2 linked regions of the Alligator mississippiensis genome follow. Each later gene encodes a partner of the first gene's protein in a complex. Links are inferred from orthologs where the notes say so. Each region holds a gene or a part of one and is shown on either strand. Other genes may lie near its edges.

What was found.
Region 2: CDHR5 (region 1) and ANKS4B share a complex: the UniProt entries of both Homo sapiens proteins name them as parts of the IMAC/intermicrovillar adhesion complex. The link is inferred for Alligator mississippiensis from reciprocal best matches to the Homo sapiens genes CDHR5 and ANKS4B.

The regions. Positions count from the first base shown.
Region 1 is NC_081825.1:183,256,453-183,266,684, forward strand, and holds the start of CDHR5 (cadherin-related family member 5), read right to left. Parts: upstream 4,399-10,232; 5' UTR 4,277-4,398; coding exon 4,210-4,276; intron 4,018-4,209; coding exon 3,842-4,017; intron 3,706-3,841; exon of another isoform or gene 3,486-3,705; intron 1-3,485. UniProt on the Homo sapiens protein: Intermicrovillar adhesion molecule that forms, via its extracellular domain, calcium-dependent heterophilic complexes with CDHR2 on adjacent microvilli. Thereby, controls the packing of microvilli at the apical membrane of epithelial cells.
Region 2 is NC_081836.1:46,289,442-46,299,838, forward strand, and holds the start of ANKS4B (ankyrin repeat and SAM domain-containing protein 4B), read left to right. Parts: upstream 1-5,798; 5' UTR 5,799-5,823; coding exon 5,824-6,050; intron 6,051-9,459; coding exon 9,460-10,397. UniProt on the Homo sapiens protein: As part of the intermicrovillar adhesion complex/IMAC plays a role in epithelial brush border differentiation, controlling microvilli organization and length. Plays a role in assembly of the complex.

The DNA of each region.
Region 1 (10,232 bases):
AAAAAATCACAACAAAGCAAAACAGTCAGTTGAAAAACATTAAAAAGCACATAAGTGCCATTTACTGGCATAGCCAAGTATCCTGTCACACTGTGGCAGAACAGGGCAAGTTGAGAAGTTTCCCCTCCCTGCCGCTCTCCCACTGCAGCTTCCGGCATTCTGAGAGGCTTAGGGAGCGCTTATTCAGAGGCTGCATGGCTGTCTACCATGCTCAATACCTATGCATGGATACTTCCTCCAAGAATTGGTCCAATCCTCTTCTGAACTGGGTTAAGGTACCAGCTGTCACATCATCCTGTGGCAACCAGTTCCACAAGTTAATGATATGCTCTCTGCAAAAGAGCTTCTTTTTGTTAGCTTTAAATCTATTATCTAATAATTTCCTATTATGTTCCCTAGTTTTAGCATTGTGAATGGTAATAAATAACAAATCCCTATTTACCGGTATTGTAACTTCGGGCAGATGCCTAGGGCACCAGTCCCAGGGGCTATCTTAGATAGGGTGCCAGATTTGCCTTGCACCCCAGGAATTTTTGCCAGAGCAGGGATAGCCCCCACAGGAGCCCAGCAGGGACAGCCCCTCACCCAGTACCGTATTTTGGAGGGTAAGAAGTTAATGAAGTGGTGCTCCCCCTTACACCCTAGGGAGTCTTTGCCATGGCAGGTGCAGCCCTGCCCCCTGTAGTATATCTGGGCAGGGAGGAGGAGTAAACAGGAAACTAGGAGTGACTCCTAGGGAGTCCACTGCTGTAGCTGGTCTGCAACTGATCTGAATAATCCCTTCCTCCTGCCCTAGGTGCTGAAGGAGCTCACTACGCCTCTACTATTTTCTTTCTCTGCACCATTTAATATTTTGTAAACCTCTGTCATGTCTTCCCTCAAGCATCTCTTTTCCAAGCTGGGAAGTCCCAGCCTATTTAGTCTGTCCTCATTTGAAAGCCCTTTCTCAGATCATCCTTGTTGCCCTTCTTTGTAGCTTTTCTCATTCTTCTATATCCCTTGTGAGGTGTGCAAACCAAAACTGTGCGTATTATTCAAGGTGAGGATACACCATAGATTTATTAAGGGGCATAATAATACTTTTTAGTTTGTTTACAATTCTCTTTTTAATAACTCTGAACATTTCATTTTTTCTTTTTGACAGCTGCTGGACATTGAGCTAGTGCTTTTAGCAATGCTAGAATTTCAGTGACACCAAGATCTCATTCCTGTGTGGTAACAATTAATGTAGAGCCCATCATGATGCATGTATATTTTGGGTTATTTTATCCCATGTGCATCACTTCGTGCTTATCAACATTGAACTTCATTTGCCCTTTTGTTGCCCATTTGCTCAATTTTATGACAAATTTCTGTAGTTCTTCACAGTCCACTTTGGCCTTTACCATTCTGAATAATCTTATGTCATTGGCAAACTTGGCCATTTTACTACTGATCCCCTTTTCCAGGTCACTTACAAATATTTTAAACAGCACTTGTCCCAACACAGATCCCTGCAGGGCCCCATTGTTTACTTCTTTTAATTCTGAAAATTGACTGTTTATCCCTACTTTCTGTTTTTTTATCATTAAGCCAATTTCAGATCCACAAATGGACATTCCCTCTAATCATATGTCAACCTACTTTTAAGAGCCTTTGATGTAGGACTTGGTTGAAGGTTTTTTGGAAGTTCAGATATACTATATCAACTGGACTACTGGATTTCCCTGATCCACATTCTTGTTGAAACACTTGGAGAACTCTAGCAGGTTGGTAAGATATAACCTCCCTTTACAGAACCAGGCTGATTTCTCCCTGGCAAGGCCTGCTTGTCCATATGCTGAACAATACTTGTTTAATTATTGCTTCTACCATTTTGCCAGGAACACAAGCTAGATGTATTTCCCCAAGTCCTTCTGGAGCCTTTTTAAAAATTGAAATTACATTGGCAACTCTCCTGTTCTCTGGTACCAAAGCTGTTTTTAGTGGCAGATTGTATATTTAGCAAGTAGATCAGCTATTTCAGATTTGAGCTCCTTCAAGACTCTAAGGTAAATACCATCAGGTCCTGGTGATTTCTTCCTGTTTAGTTTATTAATATCTTCTAAAATGTCATCTACTGATACCTCAATGTGAATCAGTTCTACTGACCTGTCCCCTGGGCTCTGGTGAGAGAATCTACCCACCATCTTCCCCAGTAAGGCTGATACAAGGAACTCATTTAGGCTGTATACAGATGTGTTGTTCTGACTCAGGACTGATTACCCAGAGGTATGACTTGAATCAAAACAGGAGCTGCACAGTCATATACACATGTAGCCTTTCCAAGATGCATTGCTGCCTTTTCAGTAGTAGGTGGCCAGCAAGAGCACACAGCCCAAGAGACTGGAATGAACTGTCATAATCGTACAGATGTACAATAGGGTATCCTGGGGAAAAAAGTGTTAGTACATTTTATCTGCCTACTGCAGAGGGACCTGAAGCAGGACAGCAGACATGTACTTCTGTACAGTCCCAGAACAAAAGACTTTCTCCCGTGACAAATGCTACATCTGTGCATAACTTCCATTTCTCAACAATAGCCTTGTCCTCTTTAAGCATTTCTTTTACACCCTCATTATCCAGTAGCCCAACTAAGTCTCTGGCAGACTTTCTTCCTCTAATGTACTTAAAGAAAGCCTATGCTTCAAGTAAAATAAGAGAATACGTGCTTTGATCAGTTAGGGCCTCCAGGATCCTTTTGTTAAATTAAAAATGATAGGGATTTTTCCTTTCCTTTTACAGGTTTCCAATTAGTTTCTGATCTCAGTACCATGACTACCAACTTGAAATAATTCCACCGTTTTCCAAAAAATTGTTTCACCTTTACAGAGGTATAAAACAGATCAGAGACCATCCTTACATATGAGAGTGAACTGAGGAGCTCTCTATGGTGGATGTGTGTGAGAGAGAGAGAGAGCGAGCGGTCTTAGAAGCTTTGCAGGTTTTCTGTTTAACAGATACCAATTGCTGCAATTACATCCATTATGAGGACCAATTGCTTGTCTAACTCCCCCGTACAACTGATGCCCCCCTGGCTGTAATGTGGAATTTTGTCTACAGGGAGATCTGAAGTAGATTCAGGCAAGCTAAAATGGAGATTTTAATTGAATGGGATGACAATGAATCATACAGCAAATACAGACGGGGGGCCCCAGGTGTTTATTTTTAGATTCAATTTATTATTGTGCAACATGCCGCAGAGTTTAATTTTACATCTGAAAAAACATGGCTATGTTGGAAAAGCTGTTGCTGGGAGCAAGGTAAAGCTTGTACAGGACGGGGGAGTTATAGCTGGGTAGGAAACTGACCCTTGACTCCTGAGGAGGAGAGCTTGGCATGATCCCAGTGGATGGATCGTAAACTAATTAGCTGGGAAATAGTTAACAAGATTGAACATTTACATTTCAAAATGGAAAGGCCGTGGAAGGGAACAGGATTTTTTTTTTTTTACATGCTAGCTTTATTTGACAAATGCACACAGACCAGACGTGCACATGGACCAGCTGCTTGGGTTCAGAACTCCACTGACTCGACAGATTTCCACTTAAGAACCCATATCTTGCTCCATTAAGCAACATGCCTTATGCCCTTCCTGGAGTGGATTTCTAACAAGACAGTAGTTGGGCCAGACTTGTACATGCAGGTTCCCTGCTTAGGCTATTAAAGCTCAGAGAAACTGAAAAGGTAGGCGCCATTTTAAAAAGCTTCACTTGCTACGACTGACAGAGCCATTGGACTGTCACAGTAAAAAGTACATTATAGAAAGTGTTTTGCAATGTTAAATTAGCTGATATTTGCCTTTTTTCATTTAATAACTTACCTCATAGTCCAAGGAACAGCTTAGAATCAGTTCTGTGTCACGAATGGAGAAGCAATTTCCATCCGCTGTGGGACTGATTGTTACTGTGATACCAGCAGCCTTTGTAATGTTGGTCACCACTAAGCCAGCAGAGTTATTTTCTCGTACCAATGGCTTGGCATTATTTACAGAGCATCCTGAAAAAAAGGCACAATATTTCCGTCAGACACAGGAATTGCCAAACTGGATCAGATCTAAGGTGCATTTACTCCAGCAGCTAGTCTCCAGCTGTGGCTGATGCCTTGGAAGAAGGCATTCAACATCCTGAGGTAGGCAACCAAGGAGATTTTTCACTTTCATCCATCCGGACTCCAAAGGCATTGACTTACCTTGGCTCTGTATTAGGGGTAGCAGCAGAAAGAGTACGTAGGCAGAGAGCCGATGAGAAACAGCCATGGCGCAGACGGCAGAAAGCAAAGGGAAACCCTGGCTGTGGGTGGAGCACTCCTGCCTCTTTCCTCCCTTGGAGTCAGCAGTACTTTGTCATCCATTTACTCCTCCGAATGGTGGTGAAGAACATTGCATGGCTGGCACTAATTCCCAACTGTTGCCGCTCAACCTTTGCCTCCTTGCCCTATTGGATGAATCATTTATGATTCATTTACCGGTACCTGGGTACTGGGTGTGATGAGCAGTAAACGCCGCAGCTCTTCTGTGGCTCTTTGTCCTCTGATTCTTAACTCTTGCAGGGACTGTGAGAAATTCCACATCTTTTAAGATTAGATGCAGAATGTCCCCGAATAAGTGTGGAAGCAGGGTGCTTGTTGACCCCTAAAAAGCTGTCTGCTTGTCCTGACCTCTCCAGTCATGGGCACCGTATAATTACCAAGTGTGTGTGCTACGATATATACCAAGCTAATGATGTGGGTTAACTTTGCACCTCGTACGTACCTGTTCTTGATGAGAATATTTCTTGGTAGACTTAATAGTGATTCAGGCCAACCTTAGCTTGCTTCTCCCCATGCATTATTCTATGCCAGCTGTGTTTGGTCAGCTCTGTTCTGGCGCAAGCCCTGTTCTCCCTGTTGGCTTTGCTCTTTCCCTGCTCCTAATCAGACTATATATTGCATTGCTCACTGGAAGCTAAAGGTAAAGCGTAACAACTGCAATAGAAGGAGAAGGTAGAATGGTCTGGGACCAGGGGGTAGAACTCCTGCTTTCTGCTCAGGCTAGGCATTAGCATGCCTGCATACTCTTGCTGTCCCTACCACTGATGTCTCCTGTGCCCTTGTGCAAGTCATCTGTGCCTTACTTTTTTCTTCTATAAAATGTTTCTTTTTCAGAGGGATATTAGGAAGCCTATGCTTTAAAAACATGACTACTGGTGTTTGGTACACAGATTTTTGGCCATCCAACCCCTATGACAGCCTGATATATCTATATCTATATAGCTAGATATATAGCTATATAGATATAGCTAGATATATATAGATATATATTTTCCAAAGGGATCAGCACTTTGTGAAGATTGGAGTCCTTTGAGGAACTTCTAGCCGGGCAGCTAACATTTCTTGTCATTTGTAAAGACAGAGGGCACCATGGGTGCAAAGTGTTCTGCTATTCACAGATAACAAACAGTGCAAAAGTCAAAGTATTATAATTCTGTTGCAAGGAGGTTTTCCTTTTGTCTCTCTTTCAAGCTACTGGAGCATGAAGAAGTTAGGAGTTGATGTGTATTCCGTATGATCATAAGCCATGTCAGAACTGAACTAGGGGTGGTTTTACTGAGATACTATTTAACTAGAAAGGTACAGTGGAGGAATAGGTGCTAAACATCTTATTAAAAGGGTCATTGGGGAAGAAGATGAAAATCTGGGGACTGTAGCAGAAGAGTGTATATAGTCTGTTGATGAACACGCCTTGCTAAAGAGCCATTTTGGGGAGCTAGAACAGAAAAATGAAGAAGGTTGGGTCTGTGTGTTTTTACTGGGACTTAGGAAATCTGAGTTCTGTTTCTGGCTCTCACAGATTCTTGGTGTGTCCTTTTAATTAAGTCACTCTGTGCCTCAGTTCTTCTACCTGTGAAATGGGGATGTTGTATTTTGTTTGTCAGGTTTATTTAAATTATAAGCTCTTAGGTATAGAGACTGTTCCTTATTCCGTGCGTGTATGTGTGCACACACACATCTGTGCATGTGTCTCTGCACATACAGCAGCAAGCACCTTGAGGCCTGGATTTCAGACAAAATCCATAGGTCCTCCATCCTGCAAAAGGGATCCTGGAAATGATTCTTTCTTTTCCCTACTTGACATCAAAGTTTCATTTGATCATGGGAAGTCTTTCCTAAGAGAAAAGTTGCAGCAGCACTCTAGTGCCTCAGCCTTGAAGGTTTGCAAAGCTTATATTATACCCCATTTCCCTCTTTCAGGATGTGTGAGTGTCAGTAAGCTCTGACTCCTTTTGATGTTTCTTTGTGTGACATATTGACAAAAGATATTTGAAAGTATTGATTGCTCGGGTGATAAGGTCACACAGCAGCTTGGCTTCTTTGTATGATTTAATTTAGCAGTGGAGCAAGCCAGATACCACTTTCAGAGTTAGCTTCTTGGACTACATGTACACGCCACGAGATTTGCCCTTTAGGACACTGCAACTGGTTTTGCTTGCACGAATGGGATTTCCTGCAGTTTTTAAAAGTCTTTTCAGCGCATTAAAATAAAACTCCTGGGACATAGTTTAGTTTGTGTCACCACCGATTACATCGCCGTAGCTATGGATTCATTGCGTGCAAACACAAAAGCACTCAAAGATGACCTTCATTGTCCACCGATGGCGCTGCAGCTTTTTTGTAGTTCACCCCTTTGTGCACCAGAGGGTGCTTTGAACTGGCACGAGGTGGCAGCCCCATCCCAGTGTTGGGGGGTCACGGGGCTGCAGGTCAGGAGCGAAGGGCACTGGCAACGCTGGGGTGGCAGGGTGTTGGGCTGAAATTTGAGCCCTACTCTTTTGTGGACAAGGAGAACAATGTGATTAACTATCAGCACTTGTTTGATAATTAGTTAGAAGCTTTACTGATTACAAAATTATCCATTAAACACAAAGCAACTAAACAACTGGGGTTGCCAGTATACAAGTAGTCAACTTTACTGGGATTGCCAAAATATAAACAGGCAGTTGTCAAAAACCGAGTGTGTTAACGTGGCTCCTTACCGCATCACAGTCTGTTTAGAGCTGTTACTCAGGAGGCATTCCCCTCTGTCAGTCGTACTGGGTGAGCTTCCTGGGTTGCGATCTTCCAAACCTGAAGGCTTGGTCTTCCTTTAGAAATCCATGCCGGTCCCTCCCTCAAAAATCCATGAAGGTGATTCAAACAGCGAATGGTGATTTTACTTGCTTAGGCTATTTAATAGGGGTGTGCAAAATGGGTTGTATTTGATTTGGATTCGGCCTGAATCGGGGGACAGTGATCAATTCATTGATTTGCATCACTGTCTCAATTCAATTCGTCTGAATCCAAATATGAAGATTCGATGCTGATTCAGAGAATCAGCAATTCGGCCATGGACACAGCTTTATATGTTGGGTTTTTTTCCTACATACCTCGAGGTACCAGGTGCGGCTCGTGGATGGTGGAGTGGATGGAGCATGGGGTGGATGGAGCATCCTACAGGAACATGGAGAGGGCCCCCCCAGGTGCTTGGCAGCGGACCTGGAAGTGGACCAGAAGTACTTCTGGTCCACTTCCAGGTCTGCTGTCAAGTGCACAGGTGCCCCCACCAGACCCAGGAGGCACCAGTCGCCAAGCTAAGGGGCAGAGCAGGGGGTCCCCTGCACGCTCCACGGCGGACCTGGAAGTGGACCGGAAGCACTTCTGGTCCACTTCCAGGTGCACCACTGAGCATGCTGCAGACTCCCCTGCACTCCTATGGGGCGCTCCATCCTTCCCAGCATTCACAAATTGCCTGGTACCTTGAGATATGTAGAAAAAACATTTAAAGCTGTGTCTATGTCTGAATCATTGAATCTCTCTGAATCAATTTTGGAGGGTTCTGATTCAATTCGGAGAGATTAAAGGGTCTCCTGATTTGATTTGTATTTGGAGATTTGGCCACCAAATTGGGCTGAATCTCCGGTGAATCAAATTGGTGACTGAAGCTTCTCACAGCCCTACTATTTAAACCTTTAGTGATGTCACCATTACTAAGGCTAGCCAAGCTTGATTATATAATATTTTGGAAGCTTTATAATAGCATAGCCTTAACGCACCTGGAATATTTTCCTGTTCCCACACTAATTAGTTGCAATGATCACAACGTTGTTTTAATTTCTGGTTCCATTGTTCCATTGTTCTGGATGTTCCTTGACATTCATTTTACTGGGGTTAACTTTAGGCCACAATTATTGCCAGCTCTTAACTGAATTGTCTCGAAAAGGTTTCTGGGAATTCAGTCAACTGTCAGAGCCTAGTGGTTGAGTGCCTCAGCACAGTGGAACTTTCTAGCACAAGGCACGGTGAGATTTTGTACGAGGGAATTTCTCGGCACAGTGGAGAGCCCCGGCGTGGAAAGGTTCTCGCCACTCATATGCAAATTCACTTGGCCGGTTCTAAATTATTCCTATGTGGCGACTAGCAATTGGCTCGCTAGCCGTATAAAAGGTTGGAGCGGTTTCCGCCCAAGTTGGAGAACTCCGCGCCCATCTCGGAGTGAACATGGCAGACTGATCAACTGCCGCCGACTCCCCATCGCCGACCGACCCCGACGTACCCCCATGTCCTGAATGCTCGTATTAAAGATATCTCGTCTTATCAGAGCTCCTCGGTTAAACTGAAACTGAAGTTTGAAGTTAACTTTCTTCCTACGCTGTACATCTCGACAGTGTAAGTAAAGCCATCTTTGTTTGAACCAGTACGCGTTTGTGCCTAATTCTACTCCAGCGGTCGAAAGTACCCATCTGTACGTGCTGGGTTTGTGGCCACAACCCAGCCGACCCTTTCCTGGATCCCCCTCAGCCCCCACATCAACTTGACGTGACCAGATTTGATTTTATTTATTTATTTATTTTTGCAACACCTACCCTCCTTGGTAGCTAGGAAAACCTTTTCCATTGCTACCACTTACTCTTTTGTCCTGGCTATTGTACTCAAGGCAGTTGGGGCCACCAACTCCGAGTGTTAGATTTTCTGCCAGGCACATTAGAGTTTTTTTTAATGTGGATAGGGAAGTAAAAGTTGCTTATGAATTTTCTCCTTCTGAATTTGTTTTCGAATGATTCGTGCCAGTTGGTGCACTTAGACTACAATGTCAGACCCTACAACGTCAGACCAACCTGATTGCCTTTTAAGATCAGGTCACAAAAGCATTGGATACAGGTGTCGCAGTGGATGTAGTCTTTCTGGGCTTCAGCAAGGCCTTTGACACTGTCAACCACCCCATCATCATTAAAAAACTAGGCGACTGGCATCGATGCCTACACAGTCAGATGGATTGTGAATTGGCTGAAGGGTCATACTCAGAGAGTGGTGGTGGACGGGTCATATTCGACCTGGGGGGAAGTGGGCAGTGGAGTCCCCCAGGGCTCGGTCCTTGGGCCCTCACTGTTCAATTTCTTTATCAGTGATTTGGACGATGGGGTGAAAAGCAACCTGTTCAAACTTGCTGATGATACCAAAATTTGGGGTGAGGTGGGCATACTAGCAGGGAGGGAAAGACTGCAGAAAGACCTGGATAGGTTGCAGGGGTGGGCTAACAAAAACAGGATGTGTTTCAATATGGACAAGTGCAGGGTGCTGCACGTGGGCAGTAGTAACCGGCAGCACACTTATAAGATGGGAAACTCCCTTCTTGAGAGCACGGAGGCAGAAAGGGATCTTGGAGTCATCACTGTTTTCAAGATGAACATGGGCCGACAATGTGAGGTCACAGTTGGCAGGGCTAACCGGACCTTATCGTGTATCCACAGGTGCATCTCAGGTAGGTCCAAGGAAGTGATCCTCCCCCTCTACATGACACTGGTCAGGCCACAGCTGGAGTACTGTGTCCAGTTCTGGGCACCCCACTTCAAGAGGGTTGTGGACAACATTGAGAGGGTCCAGAGGAGGGCCACTCGCATGATCCAGGGACAGCAGGGCAGACCCTACAATGAGAGGCTACGGGACCTGAACCTGTTCAGCCTTCACAAGAGAAGGCTGAGGGGGGACCTGGTGACCGTCTATAAACTCACTAGGGGGGACCAGAAGGGTTTGGGGGAGACCTTGTTTCCCTGAGCGCCTCCCGGGATAACAAGGAATAACGGCCACAAGTTGTTGGAGAGTAGGTTTAGATTAGACATCCGTAGGAACTACTTCACAGTCAGGGCGGCTAGGATCTGGAACCAACTTCCAAGGGAAGTGGTGCTGGCTCCTACCCTGGG
Region 2 (10,397 bases), on another chromosome or scaffold:
TAATCAGGAGGAGCTGTGACCGACAGGAAGGGAGTTTAGTTTGAGGGAAAGCTCTCGCAGGGATGTGCCAAGCTGGTTCAGGATACATGTATATAGTGGCAATGGGCCATTCTGCTATGGCAATGGGCTCTGTCTAAAATCCTGAACTAGAGCAAATTAAAAGCAGCCTAATCCTAGCTGTAGTCAAGTCAATAGGGATTTTACTGGATTTTTTCTTTAGGCTACCATTTGGCCCAACTGTAGTCAGAGGTGCTTTTTGAGATCTTGAGGCCAGTATGTTACAGAAGATGTGCCAGATTTGACTCCAGGTCTCTCCATCATTTTCCTTATGGCAACTTTAGACCCATAAAACTATTTTTAAACAGTTAATTTGTTTTCTGAAAGGACAATTTGCAAAGCAAATGAATAGAACAAACCCTGGACCATTGACCTATGTTAGGATCATAGGAAAGTAGAACTGGAAGGGACCTCACAAGGTCATCTAGTCCAGCCCCCTGCTCAAGATAGGATCATGCCTGACTATGCCATCCCAGCCATGTGTCTATCCAACCTGCTCTTGAAAATTTCCAGGGATGGAGATTCCACCCAATGCAGTAGTATTTCTCTTTCCCTTCATTTGGTCAGCACAGCCTAAACCAGGGGTGGACAAAGTCCAGCCCACAGGCCGAACCAAGCCTGCAGCAGACTCCATTTCCCAGCAGTCTCTGCCCATGTCACTGCAGCTGGTTTCCATGGAGACTCCAGGAGCAGCAGAGCTGAGACAAGGTGAGGCCAGGGTTTCCATGGAGACCAACCCCAGCAGTGCTGGCTGGGCATGCGGCGGGGCGGGGAGCTGCTCCAGGGCTGGGATCTTGCAATAGTGACAGCGTGGTCCAGAGCTGGGGCAGAGCTGCAATCTGCTGCCAACGTGCCCCAGGCAGGGGTGTGCAGTCAGTGGATCGCAGCTCTGCCCTGGCTCTGGACCACACTGTCACCACTGCAAGATCCCAGCACCGACCCTGGAGCAGCTTCCCGCCCAGCTGCATGCCTGGCCAGCGCTGCTGGGGCTGGTCTCCATAGAAACCCTGGCCCCACACTGTCACAGCTCTGCCACTCCTGGGGTCTCCGTGGAAACCAGCCACAGTGACATGGGCGGGGAGTGCTGAAAAATGGAGTCCGGCTGCTGGCCAGATCCACCATTTTGCCCCCTTCCCCCCCCCCAGATCCCCCCGGCCTAAACTGATGGTTGCAAAAAATGTTTATACCTAAAGAAACCTGAAGAATCAAGTCTTCAGACAAGAACAATTAACCAAAGCTGATTGGCAACAAGGTTGAAATCCTACTTAACTTTTTATGAGAATTGCATAGTGCAAGAGGATGTAAGTTTGTGGCTGGACCTTCTGAAAAGAAATAATGAGGCACCACTTCCAGCTTATCTTACTGTATTTATGATGATTTTAAGAGGCTCCTATTTGTCTGGTATGTAACTGTATGAACTGTCTATCCTTGATTTATTAGAGACATTCTCCATATGGACTTTGATAGGTGCCTCCTCCTGATTTACTCTGGTTTTGCCTCAGTGGTTCCCTTGATCTTCGAAGGGCAACTCCTCCGAAGCTTTGTGTTTTTCTTGGTTGTTAATCAATTTTTGATACGTTCCAACTTAATAGAAATGGATAACCTCCTATTAGCGAGGAAGGTAATTCAATCAAAATTGGGACTTTCTGATAACCAATAATGAACAGTTTGATTAACAGGATTTTCCTGTTCATTACTGCTTGGGATTCTCTCTTGATTTACACAACTACAGGAATGCTTTTGAAGATGCTGAGCTAGAGGATGTGAAAGAGGAATGAAGCAGCTAACAGGAGAAATCATTCTGACAAGAGCTGCTGCTGTGCCCCGCTGATCGCCTGGTGAATGGATCCACACCTTGAGAAGCTGGCAAGGTTGAGACCACCTCTTTGCCTGTAATTAGTGAGAAACTATCACTTTTACAGCTAAATGTACTGGATTTTGCTTTGCTTTAGGCTCATTTAACAGTCAATACCTGTAGTAAATAATGCTTTTCTGTCATCCGTTGAATGAGTTGTCCTTCCAATCCTTTCTTTATACACTAGTCCTGAATCCCATTTCACTTAACAAGCATGAGCTAAACCCATCGATTTCAAATAGGAACTCATAGTGTCAAAAATAATCTGACCTGTTGTAGTCTGAGTTTTGTGCAAAAGAAAAAACGCTCTATTTTTTTACTGCAGTTAAAAAGGAGTGAAAGCAAAGAGCTGGCATTTGCAGAGGGGTTCCTTGAGTCTAAAAAGGTGAGAACCAATGTGCTAAAAAAACCCAAATATTGTGTGTGGGGAGGAGGACAAACGTAAGTGAATCACTGCTTCTGCTACCACAAAAACCTCTACATGTGCTGTTACATATTCCATGTGCTATGCTATGAGGAACACAGATATGTCAGGCTTTGGGCAATACCACTAAGGATTTCCTTAGATTCTACCTGAGTAGAAGTTATTGCTGGACAGTCTCAGCCAACATCTTGGATGTGGATTCATGCTCTAACCTCTCTAACTCCTAATGAGGCTGAGTCAGGGATGGTCAAGATTTCATATAGTACAAGGGACTTGAAGGACTGCAGCAAGAGTTTTGCCTGTGCAATGCAAGTAGGACCACGTATTGTTACATTGTCATTGATGGATGTAGCTGTAATTACTAAATGCAACTGGATTCATTAATCTTTTAACCTCTTAGTATTAACAGATCTCATTATACAAGCTGAGGGGGCTTACTTACCTCCTTTCATATGACATTCCCCATCCTGAACTTGCCATTTACAAAAGTGTAGTCAGGAACTAGTGTGCTATACCTCATGCAAAATAGATGGTACAATAACACCTCTGCCTTTCTAATTGGCATGATGCAAATCAGGGTTCTGAATTGCCTGCAACAAAATATCTAACTAACAATTCCATGGTCTTAGAATCCGACCATGTTGTGTATCTGCCATATTATATCTGTAAGAGCTAGGAAAACAATAAGCAGAGATGTTGAGAAATCCGTTAACAAATCAAGACCGTTAGTTAAATAATTCATTAGTTTAGAACAAGACATCCAACATCAGTGGAGTTTCTCCTGAGCCTGATGAGACATTTCAATTTGAAGTGGAATGGTTCTGAACTTTTTTTCAACACAAAAAGAAAAGCTCCATTCTAATTGCTCAGGAGACTTTGCAATTTTGAACTCGACTGTGAAAAGAAAATCTCCATTCAGGCTGACAAATTTAGCTCATTCAATGTTGAATCATTTATTATGTTTTAAGCTCTGGTTTTAAGATGGGGACAAAAACTAACAAACACCAGGGCTTTAGAAATAGATGGAAATGTGGTTTGATCTCTCTGTGCTGCCTGTTTTTGCGACAATCACAATAAGCCTTGTGACGTCCTGTACTTTCTTTCTTCCTGAAGCAGGTTTTGCTTTGCATTCAATTAAAATGTGCAACAAAAACAATTTCTTTTGAACATCAGAAGAAAAAAACATTCTTTTAAAAGTGGATCCTTTCATTTTAAGCAATAAAGATTACTTAGAGAATACTGTTTCTTACTGCAGAGGCTAGTAAATTTGTTTTTATAGGAGAAAATGATTTTGGAGAGAAAGGTAGAAAATTCTCTTTTGCTATTTCCCAGTTTTAAAACCGGCCAGGGATGTAGCTAACAATTTGAAATGCTGTTGCACAGAAGACAGTAATGACTCATCTCATGCTATACTTATGAGCTCATAAAATCACTAACAGCTTACAGCTATCCAATATCTACTAGCAGTATCTATTAAATTAGATATCCATGACAGTATTGAATACAGTAACAAAAATGCCAGAGCTCAAGGAATCTTGAATCCAATAAATTATAGCTTAATGCAGTATCATATATAGCATACGCTTCCATACAGCTGTGTTTTTTCTAGCATTTCCAACTTTGATCCAATAGCAAGGAGAACAGTGAATACAGTCACTGGAAAGGCAAGTCAATTTATTTTAAGTTTTTGGAAAAAAAACAATTTCTGGTAATTGATATTCACCCAGGAGGATGAAGAAAGGGGCATGGGTGTGTCTGGATACCATGTTCTGTTATAACACATGGTACACATGAACAACCAAGGTGGGTAGTAGCCACCCTGATCATACATTATTGCAATAGGTGGGTGGACTGCTATACAGGGCATAACAACATAATTTTGTCTTCAATACTTGTTCAGTTTAAGAGTGTTTATTACGGCATGAGTCTGGTCCTCTCTCTCTGTCAACACATGCAAACCTTGGCTCCTGAAGATTTCAGCCCCATCTGAAAAGATATTTGAGGTAGGAAACCTATTTGTAGGGGCATCACAGATGTAATATGGAAGGGATTGTGGAAAACAAATGAGACTTCACTGCATGCAGCAGTTATACTGATTCAAGTAAATACTGTTTTGTAATTGCTACTTCCACTCTAGCTGAGAGCATACCAAAGAATAAAAGGCTCCAAACGTCAAATCCTGTTAGTGCTAATTCTTGCCTGCATGTTGTGTAAAGTACTGGTTAAAGCAGTGAAATGTATAAAACACCACCGGGGAAAAAATAATGCTAAATGACAGGTATATTGATTGTAACCAAGACAATAGAAGGGCAATTTGGGGCTTTTTATTAAACAATCAGTCTTCCCACATCGATTTCTGCTTAGCTACTGCTTCAAAACTGACCTTTTACATTGACTTCAGTCTAGAATTCTTCTGTATCTCCAGGTTAGAATTTGGGCCCCATCCCGCAGGCTTTTCCTCGCACAGTGATCTTTATTCATACAAGTCAAGCCAAAGGTGCACTCAAGCCTAATGGCCCATAAAGCTAGTGTGATTCTAGCACTCCCGCTTCTGTAGCCAATACCACACAGGGCACAATGTGGTTGCCATCACATTTGGCCATTTTTGGCTCCCCAGCCTGAATGACCATGTTCCATTTGCAGCTGGGTCAATTGGACTGCAGCTCTAAGCAAATGTCCAGAAGGGGTCTCAAAACGTACGTTTCTTGAACCACAGTGAGATACTTTAATGGCTTTTCCCATCATACCCCTACTGTATTCTTACAGGCCATCCAGTTAAAATTAGGGGGACCATACCCCCAAGGGGAAGACCTCTTATTATGAGGATGGGGGACCGACTGGGAGGCCAAGCCCAGGACTATTGAATTTTATTTCTAGCTCTGCCACTAAATCACTTTGCTACCTTAGGCAAGTCATTAAAACTCTCTGCATCTCCCATTTGCCTGTCTGTAAAATGGGGATAGCAATACCTATTAGCATATTTCATATATGTAACACCCTTTAAGATCCTGAGATGAAGTGAGCTGTATGGTGAAAAATATCATTCATTTGGTTTTATTTTCACAGACAAGGTGAATTTGTTGTAATTAGCTAAGAATAAAAGACTGCATAGTCTGAAGTGTAGTGGCTTGTAATGTGTTCTGTTTCACCCACCCAGGGTTGGTTTTAACACAGAGTAGAATCTTGCTCATGCTGAAATCAATAGCAAAGCTCCCTTTGACTTCACCCCAACTGTGTAAGGAAGGGGAAGAGGGACATGTGGTTAGAGAAAGAATCCCCCTTAATTTTTAACTGTAAAATACTGGAGTTAAAAGCAAATGGACAGTCACTTCACAGAAAAGACACCTGTATAGCAGCTGCTTTAGTGAGGCGGTGTTCCAGGCAAGTTGTGTACTGGGATGAACTTTGCCTTTTTATTTCAATCCGGAAGCTGACATCTTGGCTTGTAATTATTAACTAACTATCCTGATAGCGAAAGTGTGGCTGCATGCACCTGCTAGAACTCGGAGTGAAACAGTGCCCCAGGACGCTGCTGTGGGATCTACTGAAAATGTCGACCAGGTATCACAAAGCAGCTGCTGACGGCAATCTGGACCTTTTGAAAGAAGCGACCAAAAAAGATCTCAATACTTCAGAAGAAGATGGGATGACACCCACCCTTTTGGCAGCTTATCACGGGCTTCTAGAAGCTCTGGAAGTCATATGCAGCAGAGGGTAAGTATAACAGGCCTCAACCTCTCAAAGCCGATGAAACAAAATTACAATTATCATGCAGCACCTTTTAATGCAAATACTGGTGCAAATGGGCAGTTTCTTGCTTTCTAAATTACTTGTTTTCTTGTGGGGGCTTTCAATCTTTATCATGTGTAGCTGCTTCATTTTTTTTCTATTGGTTGAGCCCAGTGGTATTCAACCGGCAGGCTGGATCGGGCAGAGAGAGTGAATCAGTCCTGTGCCACTCATCAGGTCCGCAGAGCCAGATGGATGGGGTGCTACTGGTTTAGGCCATAATCAAACAAGCTGCTCTGTACAAATCAGGCCCCGGTGCACTAGCATAGACTTACAGGCTTCTATGGCGTCTGAGCAATGTATAGTTTTAGAAACTAGGATGCAGGACTGCTGCTAGCGAGAGCTACAGGAGCTGCCATTTACTTCAACGGAAGTTGGAATACACCCTTAACTTTATAGTTTTGTAAATTAAAGTACATTTAATTAAAGTGTATTTAATAGCCTCCAGATAATTTTCAGAAGGAAACCAGAAAGAGCTGAATCTAAAAATGTGATTTTTCTGCTCTTGATAGCATTAGAAACTGAAGTTATGCCTGAAAAACAAATCTGTGCTTCTGCTGGAGCTGGTAAAATTTCAGGAAAAAAATGCAAAGGAATTAAATATAGACTAAAGGAGGTTTCTCTGATGTAGTTTTTCCTCACATTAATTATTAAATGCACCAGCACTATAGATAAATTATAAAAAGGTCATTCCCCTACTCTGGATTGCCCACTGTTTCCTCCAAGTCTTCTCTTTAGGCTGTCATCCTAGGGGTCTATTTCTTAGTGGAGTCTTCCACTGGGGAAAGAAGGGGACTAGAGCATTTTCACTTGGGGAAACCATCAAAGAGCAGAGGGCAGAAAACTAAGGAAAGATAAATACTTCTTTAGTTGTGTTTTGCCCTTCTGCAAAAATAGAAAAAAAGTTCCCTGTACATGGTAAGTGTAATAGGTAGATGCCCCTCTTAGCTTCTTGATCTAAGGTGTGGCTATAGAAACACCTGACTGCCAATAAAAGAGACCTTTAGACTATATAGCTATTGCTATAACCTTAGGAAAAGCAAAAAACAGAAGCCAGATTCTAAATTGGTACAAAACAATATGTAATTCCAGTGATGTTGCTGAAGACATTGGAGATCTGGCTTATAATTTAGGAAAAGATAAAAAGGGAAAATTAACTAGTTAAGAAAAATAAATAGAGCAAGATAACGTGTTCCCAGGTTCCACGGTCTTATATACACCAGTGCCAATCACAAAATAGGGCACAGAGCACAAGGATTTCCACAGAGCTGTATTCTCTATTCATTAGTTACACTAGTTTATTTAAAATTGGTATCAGCTTGGTACAGGACAGCATCCAAAAGCTTCAAACCTTTATTACTGATGATTTCCTGAAAGCTTTCATTTTAACCTGAGACTCCTTAACTTTGAGAGTCAGAGAAACTGGTCTAAATCTCAGCAATGTTTGTTTGGGTCTTTGGAAGAAGCTGCATTTTGGAAGATTTTCAAACAATGCCCCTGGCTGATGGGGCTTTCAAGAAAAAAAATTGACTTATTATTTCTAATACGTGCCTCTTTTCCTTAAAGCAAAAGGAAGGAACACCCAGTAAGGGAATGACATGGGACCCGGGAAAACTGGGTTCAGGTCTGTGCTCCACCCCAGAACTCCTGTGTAACCACAGGCAAGGCACATTAGCTGCACAAAAGTCCTTGGGTATGCAAGTGTGATTAGCATAAGGGATTTCTAAGACCATTCAGCTGCCCCATTACCATGGACACACCTAAACTTCTTACTTATGTATGTATGAATACATTTGATTTATATACTGCCCTTCCAAAAAAGCTAAGCTCAGGACCACTTTCAATCCAAAACAAAACGACACATAAAAACAGAACAAAGTATTACGTTGGTCAGTGTGACAAACTAAGCCTTCCCCAATCCTCCCACTCCCTGCCTCGCATCCAGGAGTCCCCTCCCCCTTCCCATAACGTCCCTCTGAAGCTCATCCCTCTCTCACCTGGCGGGGTTGTTCCCCAAACCCGCTCATTCTCCCCTTCCTCCCAAAGAAGCACATTATTCAGTTTATAACCAGAAATACAATGCCTGCCCCTGCCCCATCCCTGCTGAAATGTGATACCAAAGGGGACCACTGAGTGTTGCCCTTTGGTAGCACCTACCCAAAGGCACCCTGCAGTCCCCTTAAAGCCCACTAGCTGGCTGGGCTCTTCCCCTTTCCAGCTCAGGCATCTGCAGAGTCAGTGTCTGCTCCAAGTCTCAGTCCTCCCCTACTCTGGACTTGGCTTCCAGAGCAGGTGGCAGAGAGATCAGCATCCCCTGAACTGTGGGTTGCGGCAGTCCATAGGAAGCCTGGGAGGCCAGCAGAAAGAGTAGTCTTTAGCCAAGGGCAGCATGCAGTCCCTATGAATCTCTGCTTTTCAAATCCCAGGAGTATTTTGGGGGAAGGGTTAGGAATAGCAGTTTAAGCAGCAGCTGAAGAAAAACTATGGCTTCTGCCTGAACATTACCTAATTATAGTAGACATGGAGACTTAGGCCTTTTTTCTTAATAATTTACTTATTACCCATTGTGAAAGTTGCTGTTATTACCACACAAACTATGTCCTGAGGCAGTCAAATGCAGAGGTTTCCCACTGTTCCTGCATTTTACATCAAAGAAAGAAAGGCTGATCTCAGTAGCTTTTAAAATACCGTGGGTGAAATCCCAGTCCCGCTGAAAGCAGTAGAAGTTTTGTCATTGATGTCATGAACTATAATCTAGAGTCTGATCCTGCTTCTCTTGAAGTCGATTGTAAAATTCTCTGCATTGCCCAGCTGAGGCACCCCACCAGGCTTTCAAGGTGAGGGAGGCAGGCAGGGGGAAGGGAGGGAGTAATCAATTGATGGCCTGTATCAGGAGAAAATAATTACCCCTGTTATGGCTGTCATAAATTCAACCTGCTAGAAGGGGCAGTATGCACTCATCCATTCCTTGCCCTCCACTTGGGGTAGGTGAATGAAGCAGCACAGTCCCTGAACCCAAGACCCAAAAAGCTCAAAGGATAAAGGATATTTGTTCTTGTTCTTCTGTGTGGTTGGAATGCGACTTTGGCTGCAGGCCCAAAGCGCTAGCTCAGTTTCATACAGAATTGGTGATGGGACTTGAACTAGAGCCAGATTCAGCCCTGATGTAAGTAGGTAAAAGTATATTACAGGCCATAACCCTCTGTCCACATTTCTTCACTGGAACAGCATCCGCTTATCCCAGATTTGAACTTGGCCCTCAATGCATCACTGTGGCAGGCACTTATGTTTGAGATGTATTTGATGGACCTGACTCTGATGTTTTGCTCCTTAGTGGCGACCCAGACAAATGTGACATCTGGGGAAACACTCCGCTCCATCATGCTGCTTCCAATGGTCATATCCACTGTCTCTCATTCTTGATTAAGTTTGGTGCCAATATATTTGCTCTGGATAATGATATGCGCACTCCGCTGGATGCAGCTGCCAGCAGGGACCAGCATGAATGTGTCAGACTCCTGGACAAAGCTGCTACTGAACAGACCATAATGAATGCCAAGAGGGTCTCCAAACTCAAGGCCCAGGCTCAGAAGAATGCAGAGAAACAAATCAAGGAATGTGAAAAGCGCCAAGAGAAGCACCAACATGAAATGATGAGGAATTATAACAAAGAAAAGCTTGGATCAGTAAGTTCTGCCAAAGGGACAGCTTCCAGGATGAAGGTGCCCGATTTCTTTGTTCCCAATACATCAGGCACCTTCTCCAAAAGCCTGAAGGACACCTTCAGACTGAAGGCAAAAAAGAAAGATGAAAACATAGCTGATAAGGATGCACAAAAGAGTAGCCAAGAGGAGGAAGGCAAGGTTGCGCGTATGGGTGTAATGGATGTATTCAATGAAAAAGATGAGGATGAATTCTTAAATTACTCTAAAGGGAGAAACATTTCTGAAGAGGATAGCCAGCAGGAGCATATGTCAATTTTCCAACGGCCAGGTCTGGGCAAAATTGTGTTTGGAAGGAATTTGGCAGCAGACATAAATGCCAAAGAGATGTCCTTTGAGAAAGAAGGAATACGATTTAAAATATCTGGTGAGTTTTTTCAACAGAGGGAGTCTGAAAATGGAAGTGAGCTAGCCACTGAAAATGATCTTGATGTCCCTTGGAATGAGGAAGAAATTGGTTGGGAAGATGATGAAGCAGAGAGCACTCCTCTTGATGTATTTTTGGCCTCTCAAAATCTGAATGAGTTTGTTCCTGTCTTCCTCAGAGAAC